Linked DNA regions of Arabidopsis thaliana. The protein of the gene in region 2 interacts with the protein of the main gene of each other region in a biochemical or structural test. Each region holds a gene or a part of one and is shown on either strand. Other genes may lie near its edges. The genes, in order: AT5G53920 and PRPL11.

Region 1 (5,078 bases), on a different chromosome or scaffold from region 2:
CTGGTCTTAGCTCTTGTACAACCAAACGAAAGTTGGTTAGACCGGTATTGAGTAAAGATAGTTTAAATCTAGCTAGCAAGAAAGAAGCTAGTGGTAGCCAAGATGCTGAAGCAGAGAGCATTGATGGCAGTACCGTTGACAAGAATTGTTTAGAAAGTACTCTAGCTTTGGTAACAAAGAATGAAGGTGAACACATAGAACCAACAAAAGTTAGTTCTACGCTCAACGCAGAGTCTTCTTCTCATGCTGACACTGAGGAGGTAGATGAAGTCAAAGGAGGGTCTCAGTCTGAACAGAAAACAATTGATGAAACAAAAGATGAGTCACAGTACGAACAGAAAACGATGACTGTGATGAGGGGTGGAGAAATGGTTCAGGTAAAGTTTCTGCAATTCTTGAAATATTGATTTCCTTGTAGTTTCCAGGTATGTCTATTTGAGTCCTAACATTTTTCTTTTGAAATTTGTGTTCAGGTGAGTTACAAGGTCTACATTCCTAAGAAGGCCTCTTCTTTGGGTAGAAGAAAACTCAACAGGTGAAGCGACGACATGAAGATAGTCTATGTTGACAGATTTTTTGTTTCTGTAGAATTTAAATACAATGGTTATAACCAGAGTTGGTGACAACACAAATTTTATTATCATAGACTTGAAACTTTGAATACAACAATGAAGAGTTCATTAAGTTTCATATCATGTGTAGTTGTAACCTCTTACACAACTCCATTAAGGCTGATATGTTCTTAATGTCTGATGATTAGACACTTTTGTTCTTACCTTTGCTTTACTAGTGCTTTTTATGTTATTGTCTGTTTTCTGATATAACACTGAAGAAATGATTAGTTATCAATAAACTCCTCTTTCTTGGTACCACTCATGCATACCCAATCACCTATTGTGGCTACAGAAATGTCCTCCAAGAAGGGAGAGTACCGTTCTCTTACATTTGGAAGCTGCAAAAAGAGCATTGAATTAGTCAGTTTACAGTATAATTTTCAATTCCTATGACTTGCAGGTAGCTTGCTTGCTTGTTATAACAATACAGTACTCTTTATTTACCTGTTCAGATAAGATACCAGAAATGCCAATGGTTGCCCCAGGTTTCACGAATGAAAGGATATGATCCGCCAGATTCATAACCGGGTTCAAGAGTATGTTTGCAATGACTACATCAAACTGTTCCTTTTGCAATGGTATTTCTCTTCCAGAAGAGCTATTCTCAATAGGTGCAAGGTGCAGCTCCAGTTTCTCCAACGGAATGTTGTTCAGAGCTGCATTATGAATTGCAGAGTTTATTGCTAGAGGATCAATATCAACACCAACGGATGATGCAGCACCAAACTGCAAATTTAAATGAGCGATGCACAAAGATTTAAATAAGATGATTTATGTTGTAATGATTGGTTTTTGAAAGATCAAAGGCGTGAGATTTTTACCTTGAGGGCTGCAATTGCAAGTATTCCTGAACCGGTACCATAGTCGAGGAAAGCTTCTCCGCCTTTTATCAAACTTTGTAGAAGCAATAGACACAGCTTAGTAGTAGGATGTTCTCCAGTCCCAAACGCAAATCCAGGGTTCAGAATTATGTTTACCGCTTCAGCGACCTTGCAAAGGATAGTGAAAGAGTACTTTAAAACCACACATAATAACTTTCTATATCCCTCTATATAAGCTGACACAGAAAGAGGGTGATTCATATTCTGCAAATTCAGTACCCTAAGACCGCTCTTCGTTATGTCAACTAAGGCAAAAGAGTAACAAGAATCCAAATGAGTGCAATGGTTTTGTTAAAGAATATTGATTTATACACATACAGGAGGAGATGTCCACTCAGGTACAATCCAAAGTCTCTCGGCGATTTCAACAGGCTGAAACAAATCCTGCAAAATATGATTCAAAAGATATTAGCTTCAAGTGACATTGCCGCAAAACAAATATAGTATTTGCGCTGAGTTTTGAGCATAACTATGCAAGTTTTCTTAAATGAAAGCAATTACTGAAATGATGATCCTTTCTTTGTTAAACTCAGAACTCACCTGGTTTTTGGTAATCCAGTCAAGTTCATCTCCCATTTCAACTTTGAATTTGGGTATCTCTTTCAAGCCTATGGAATTTGCAGCTTGTGAAATGCACATTTTCACCTCTTCATGCACTGGAAATATTGATTCTATACATATCTGCAGAGAGTAATACCAAAGAGCACAAGCATGATTGATGAGACTACAAGAATATAGACAGATCAACCCTTAAGATGCTTCCTAAGAGCAAAATCGTTCCTTTTATGCATCAATTTGCTCTAACATTGTTCAATCATACAAAAGATTGGTGCTTTCTGGAAATGGAGCTGAACAAAAAACGATCAAAGCATAGATTTTTCACCTCTTTTGAAGCAAGAGAAGTCTCATCTTGGTCGGCTTCTTCGATGGCTTCATCTACAGCTACAGAGCTTGCTCCAAAACACAAAAGTGCCTCCGAGAATGGATCCTAACAAAAACCCAACAAGCAAAGAGTCAAATCGCAGTCTCATATCCTTAAAAGAGATCAATGGGAGAGATACACATACGAGGGCATGTTTTGGACAGTGGATACGAACTGAGAGGTAAGGTGCAGCGAAAGACTCATCAGTGAAGCACGAAGATGAGGAGGAGGAAGAAGAAGAAGTAGAGAGAGACGCAAAGATTGAAAAGGAGGATGGAGGAGTAGAAGAAGTGAAGAAGCAGAGAGGTCTGACTCTGCTGTCTCTGAGGATATGGCGGGAGAGATTCTTGCACGGAAAGTGTTTGATGAAATTCCAAGCTAACATTTTCTTCTTTTTTTTTCACCTAATTATCGAATTTAAACGCTGTCAAGTCACAAATAGAGAAAAATTAAGAGGAAATTTCCAAAAATGTAGATAGAAAGATATTTTCGTCTAAATAGACACACAAAAGCTTAGGGTTTAATTAATTATACAAAGATATACATAATAAAAAAAAGAAACCTTAAATATAAAGTATATATTTAATATTTAATCTGAAAACCATGAAAATCCTGAAAGATAAGTTTTATCAAAATAGGATACGCTTTAAATATATTATTACTATGAATAAAATTAAATACAAATATTGAGTGGTTATCCTAAATCTAGGTTGCGTCATATATATACTTTTGTTTTCTCGTAGAACACTCAAATTTCCAACCTTTACAAATAACATTGTTTTCTTTTGGTTGTAGACGTAACCAACATAACGTTTGTGAACTTATCTATTATTTTCATTGTATAATACAATGTCCGTAGAAAACAAATTGAAAAGCTAAAGTCGATACACGGAAAACATAAGAAAATATACTAAAATCAAGAGATGAAGCTCTCGAAATCATTGGAAAAGTAATAATAGATATAAATATTTTATTTGTCAACATGCGTGCATTATGCATGATTGAATATGGATGGTGACACAACGACAACACTAGCACAAATTAAACCACTAAGTTATCAGTTATGACGAAAGATATAAGTGTCTTACTCATTTCAAAAACCGTATAATATTGATCTCTATACCTAAAATTAAATAAAACCAAATAAAGCGCTTAAGTGTTAATGTATGTTAGTTATAAATCTGTAGTTCTTTGAGGAATATGATCATCTTCACGTGGTAATTCGAAGCGACACAATGGACAATTGTAGCGAACCTTAAACCATTCCATAATACACTTATTGTCAAATTCATGACCACAAAGTAAAGTAGCAACTTCTCGTCCGGTTTTAAACTCCTGAAAACAAATTGCGCATTTGTACTCACCACTAGAATAGGTCTCTCGTTTTCTCATGTATCTTGTGCTCTTGTTAGCAATAGAGCTGGTCTTTTGTTTCCTCTTGTATATTCTCCTGCTCAAGGCTCCGACCCTTAAATTGCTCGCGGGTCTATACTCGCTATTCCTCTCATATTCATTCAAAGGAGCCACATCAAGAGTCAACCACACTGACAAAGCATAACGTGGACAGTATTCAAACGAATTAGAAGTTAAATCACGTGCAAGTTGAGTGAGTTTTAGTATTAACGTGTAAGCATCTTGTGAATCAACTGCTGAATCTGTTAAGAAGTAATAGAGTCTTTGTTTGTGGGGAGAATCTTCGTCGTCAGTTAATTCATTGGCAGGTAATGAACATGAGAAGTTAGACCGGGTTAGTATCGGCGACATGTTGGCTGATCCGACGAAACTTACATAGACTTGGATTGTGCCAATCTTTTTGCGTTCAGGATTGACATCAATATGGTAGTTGAATACAGGAGTAGCTTCCATGATGTGGGTAGACCAAAGAGATTTGTAATGTGTAAATTCAGAGATTCTTATATTTATACTCTATTGAGGCGGTGGAATAGTCCACGTAGGATTATTATTTGGAAAATTTATATTACCTTTTATTTATTTTTCGGTCCAATATTTCCTTTTTATAATTGGTTTCCAATTAAATATTTGATTTACAGTAGTGAATTCTTTCCATGACCAAAACTTACCTTACATTCTTTTTTGTTGTTGACTTTTTTGTTTCCTCATTGGCCTTTTTCTTTCTAAGAAGAATCTTACCAAAATATGATAAATTATGGAATATATACTAAAGTATTAATACTAATTAACATTTTAAAAAATAAAATACTACAATTTTTATAGTATTTTAACAAAGTATGTACATATATTTATGAACATTATATGAGAAGTAAGTTTGTACCACGTTAAAAGAAGGGGCAATGAAACTCTTTTGTTGAAATTTGACGTCAAAACTCGAAGCTATCCTTAATGAAAAGTGTATGAATTTCGGTTTCGATTTTGTAATGAGATAATGATAAAATCATAAGTATTTGATATAGAATATGGAATTTTGCGTTTCCTCTATTTTTAAAATTTAGAGATAAAACTTAAATTATTTGGTGAATATTTTTATTTGAAACTTTTCTAATTTAAAAAGTCAAAATTTTGGAAGATAATTATGACGGCTTACCCTAAACATTAAATATAAAAATATCATATGTATTCATACTTCTTAGGCCATAGCCGCTAAATAAATCATTACAGTTGTTGGATTTTTTTAATTATTTC
Region 2 (4,281 bases):
AACGGAATCATGGCGTAAGTTGTTGTTTGCTTCTTACTTCGGCCTTGGTGTCTTATGCAGTTTCAGCCTCGACAATCATTTATATAAACAAAGCAAAGAGATTATTTGTATAGACTAAAAAATTCATTATAGGTTATTATTACTTTTTTCTCTTATGGATTCTCATCTTCTCATTTCCCCCTTTTTATCAATTGCCCTATATTTGGTTTTCTTCTTCCTCAAGAAACTTAATCATAAGCTTTTTAGTAGATTGGGATGAATATTCAGTAGCAATGTTATCTTTATTATTAATCCATCATTAACAAATCCAGTAGATTGGGATGAACAGAGTCAGACCAAGTCAAGCGACCAAAGTAGTAGCCAGTGTTCACTCTATGGCGAACACACGGACTTTGAACGAGAGCTTCCTCGTCTTAGCGTTGAATACTAATGTGCTTGGTGTCACGGTAACGTTAACACCCATTGGAGCCTCAATGACAGCCTTATAAACTGACCCTACTGGTCCAACGTTGGTAACGGTTCTAGTGATAATAACTTCTTTTGCAAGGTTTGGGATTGTGATTGAAGGCAATTTGAGGTCAAGAACTGAAGGTTTAGGGTTTGCACAAACCGTCTTCTTGCGGACAAGTCTAGTAATGGATGAATCTGTGTAACCAACGGAGCACAAATATAGAACATAATCGTTAACTCCCATATCGTAAACAAGACCGGGTTTCGCGGCTTTCTCTGAATTGACAACGCCTCCTCCATAGTCAAATGGATCAGCTAATTTACGGTTTGATCCGTCTGCGAAAATGGGTTCACCGGATGGATCTGTTCTCCAAGCTGTAGTAACAATAGCAGATCTAATGGCGGCCGGAGACCAATGAGGGTGCAAAGACTTAAGGAGTGCTACAATTCCTGCAACAAAAGGAGTCGACATTGATGTTCCTGATTTCATAGGAAATCCTCCGTCATAAAATGTATCATTTGGAGAAGTAGCTGCGAGTATGTTCACTCCAGGTGCTGCAATATCAGGCTGTATCAGAGAACAAAACAAGTCTCAGTTTAATCAACAAACTAGATGAAACTTCAGTCAGAAGTAACTACATGAAGACTACATTTAGGTATACATTTATAAAACCTAAAATTTAACTTACAAAGCAAACATCTTTGTTCAAAGAATCTGGTAAAGTTTGAGACTTATCAAAATCAGAGAATTTAGTAGCTAAGCTTGGAATATACCTTGAGAATTGCGGGAGAGATGGAACTAGGTCCTCGCGATGAGAAAGTCGCGACCTTTGTAGCCACGGGAAGTCCAACCAACGTTCTTGTAGGTTGAATCCTTGCGAGTGGCGATCTACAAAACCAACAATTGGATATACAGAATCAATAACTATTCTTTGTCAACCGTATTATTTTTAACATTTAACCAATATAAACCTTAAAATTTTGGGACAATGATCCTTCCATTTTGACTCATCAATAATCGTGTGAAATCGTATTTACTTAAATAAAAGAGTACATAAAAGTTGTGAAAAAACCGAAGAAGTATAAAAAAACACTGCTAAAAGTTATTTGAGAAATGTATTTTGATACTGCATTTAATTGAAAGGTATTACCTTGTTGACATAGTGACGGCTCCGCTATAGTTCCAGTCGTCACTATGCCACCACCCAAATTCAAATCAGCATGATCTTGACAACAACAAAAAACAAAAATCTCTTCCTTGGTCCATAATTCCATATAATGTACTCGTTTTCATGCAACATTTGATCCTAGACGACTACTACAGACAGTAAATGGGCTTGATCTGGAATCTTACGCCTATTTATTTAGGCCCATTAAGCCCATAAAGTGGGAGAACTAAAAAAGTGGATAGGATTTGTGAACTCGCTCTTTAGCTTTCACTAACCTTCTTCCTTCACAGTGAATCAATGGCGTCTTCTTCTCTATCAACTCTTTGCAGCTCAACTTCTTCTTCTCTACATCCCAACTCCAAACTCTCACATTCTCTTTCAGCTAAATTATCCTCCAAAGCAAATGTTTCCGTCCAATTTCTGGGAAAGAAACAGTCTCCGCTTCTCTCCTCAACTCCGAGATTTCTCACTGTTATCGCCATGGCTCCACCTAAACCCGGAGGCAAAGCTAAAAAAGGTACAATCTTTTCGCTACCCATTTCCTTAAAACCTAGAAATTCTCTTAATTTCATTGCTTGATTGGTGTTGTGGGTTTGGAATTTTTGTAGTTGTGGGAGTTATCAAACTTGCTTTAGAGGCGGGAAAAGCAACTCCGGCACCACCGGTTGGTCCGGCGCTTGGTTCTAAGGGAGTTAACATTATGGCTTTTTGCAAGGATTATAATGCAAGAACTGCTGATAAAGCTGGTTATATCATTCCTGTTGAAATCACTGTCTTCGATGTGAGTTTTGTACTCTCTCTACTACAAATCTTGAGTTTTTGTTTGATTAAGCTAAAGAAGAGTAACATTTGTGGTGGTAATTGGTTATCAAAAATGTGTTTTGCAATGTTTATGTGTATTTGGTATTGATTCATAACTTGTTATAGATTGGTGATGTGTTTCGAGTTTTAGGTTTATGAGATTGTTTATGGAGTTTGTATGTGTGTTTGCAGGATAAGAGCTTCACGTTTATTCTCAAGACCCCGCCTGCTTCGGTTTTGTTGCTTAAAGCTGCAGGTATTCTTTTGTTGAACCTGAATGAGTATTGTGACCAATAGGTTTATCTCTGTAGAATTGATCTTAAGGTACTTGCTTGAATCATATCTTGCTATTTGCAAAGCCTAATAACTTGAGTTTTGTTAGATCACATTATACGTGTTCTCCTTCTCAACCATATAGATTCAAATTTATAGCGTGGTAGAAGAACAAAATCATTCATGCCATGTATTTTGTGATGTTGTTTTCTGGATATATAGATTGAATGACATAATGGTAATAAGTTGTGGCAACTCTTACTTTTATTTTTCTTGTCTGTTCCTGGGAGTTTTGGGATGTTTGACGTTTGTTGGTGGAAATAGGTGTTGAGAAGGGATCAAAAGATCCACAGCAAGATAAAGTTGGGGTGATAACAATAGACCAGCTACGCACAATTGCAGCAGAGAAGCTACCCGACCTGAACTGCACGACCATTGAATCCGCTATGAGAATCATTGCAGGAACTGCAGCTAACATGGGGATAGACATTGACCCTCCGATTCTTGAACCCAAAAAGAAAGCAGTTTTATTGTAAAAGCCTGGTTGGTAGTTTCTATTCCATAATGCCTTATTCGTTTCAAAGTGTAATTTTCCAACATGACGCTTAAGAGAGTTCGATATAATGATGCAACATGTATGTGTTTTTTTTGTTTTTATCAAAAATGAAATTTAACAAGTGCAACTTGAAACGCATGAATGGTTTACAGTCTCAAGAATTGGTAAGGCATGTAATCATTGTGATTGTATACGAAACAGAACACAAATAAGGGATTATTTAATGCCAATGACCATTGTTTACCTCTCGTCTCTATACAAACCAAAGTGTCTTGTGTATTCAATTCTGATGAGCCGCTTATGTATAAGAGGTGAGACTGTTGGCTTTAATCCTACCAATAACTTCAGCTGCATCATGAAGAGTAGACAGAGATTCTGGCGGTTGAGGGTTTCTTCGTAGAGGTTGATCGATTCTTAATGTCCTGTGGATTTTAAGTTCCCAAAACTGTTGCTTAGGACATACAAGATCGTTCAATGTCCAAGAAGAAACCTGAGCCGCTACAATCATCGGTCTAATCTCTTTAGCAGATGAAGTTATTTGTGGTATAAAACCCACAGTTTTATCATGCATTCTCACATATCCATGATCCATCTGTACACAATTGGCAATTCTCAAACAATTATAGCGTTTGTTACAAATAAAATTCTTAATCAAGGTTGGTTCATTGTATCTTAACCATTCTTTAGTTCCTGTCTTCCAGAGTCTTTTTTTTTTTTCTGTAAACTTTAGGTTTCAAAAAAAAAAAAAAAAAAAAGTTTTAATATATATATACAAATGTAATCTCATTCGCTGTCCTTCCTCGTACGCATGTGCTATGGCTTTATCTCAAGGGACTGGATAGTCCGGATTTCTCACAAGTATAGGGAAACTAATCGTCTAGCGGATGAGTTAGCGAACTATGCATTTTTTTTTGCCTCTTGGTTTTCAGTTTTTTTATGTTTGTCCGGATGCTGTTTATTCGGTTATGTTGGAAGACCGGAACGAGATGTCGTTTCCGCGTAATGTTCGTTTGTAATTTCTTTTAGTTTGAA

The links.
Region 1: of the proteins of PRPL11 (region 2) and AT5G53920, one has a biochemical effect on the other in vitro, tested with the Arabidopsis thaliana proteins (one study listed by BioGRID).

What each region holds. Positions count from the first base shown.
Region 1 is NC_003076.8:21,889,848-21,894,925, reverse strand, and holds AT5G53920 (ribosomal protein L11 methyltransferase-like protein), read right to left. Parts: upstream 2,944-5,078; 5' UTR 2,803-2,943; coding exon 2,563-2,802; intron 2,484-2,562; coding exon 2,379-2,483; intron 2,177-2,378; coding exon 2,036-2,176; intron 1,880-2,035; coding exon 1,814-1,879; intron 1,604-1,813; coding exon 1,436-1,603; intron 1,341-1,435; coding exon 1,059-1,340; intron 953-1,058; coding exon 839-952; 3' UTR 659-838; downstream 1-658. Other genes in the region: AT5G53930 (transcriptional regulator ATRX-like protein), read left to right, coding at 1-377, 474-539; AT5G53910 (RING/U-box superfamily protein), read right to left, coding at 3,591-4,283.
Region 2 is NC_003070.9:11,953,911-11,958,191, forward strand, and holds PRPL11 (plastid ribosomal protein l11), read left to right. Parts: upstream 1-1,745; 5' UTR 1,746-1,916; coding exon 1,917-2,136; intron 2,137-2,227; coding exon 2,228-2,400; intron 2,401-2,612; coding exon 2,613-2,676; intron 2,677-3,017; coding exon 3,018-3,229; 3' UTR 3,230-3,492; downstream 3,493-4,281. Other genes in the region: AT1G32980 (Subtilisin-like serine endopeptidase family protein), read right to left, coding at 368-940.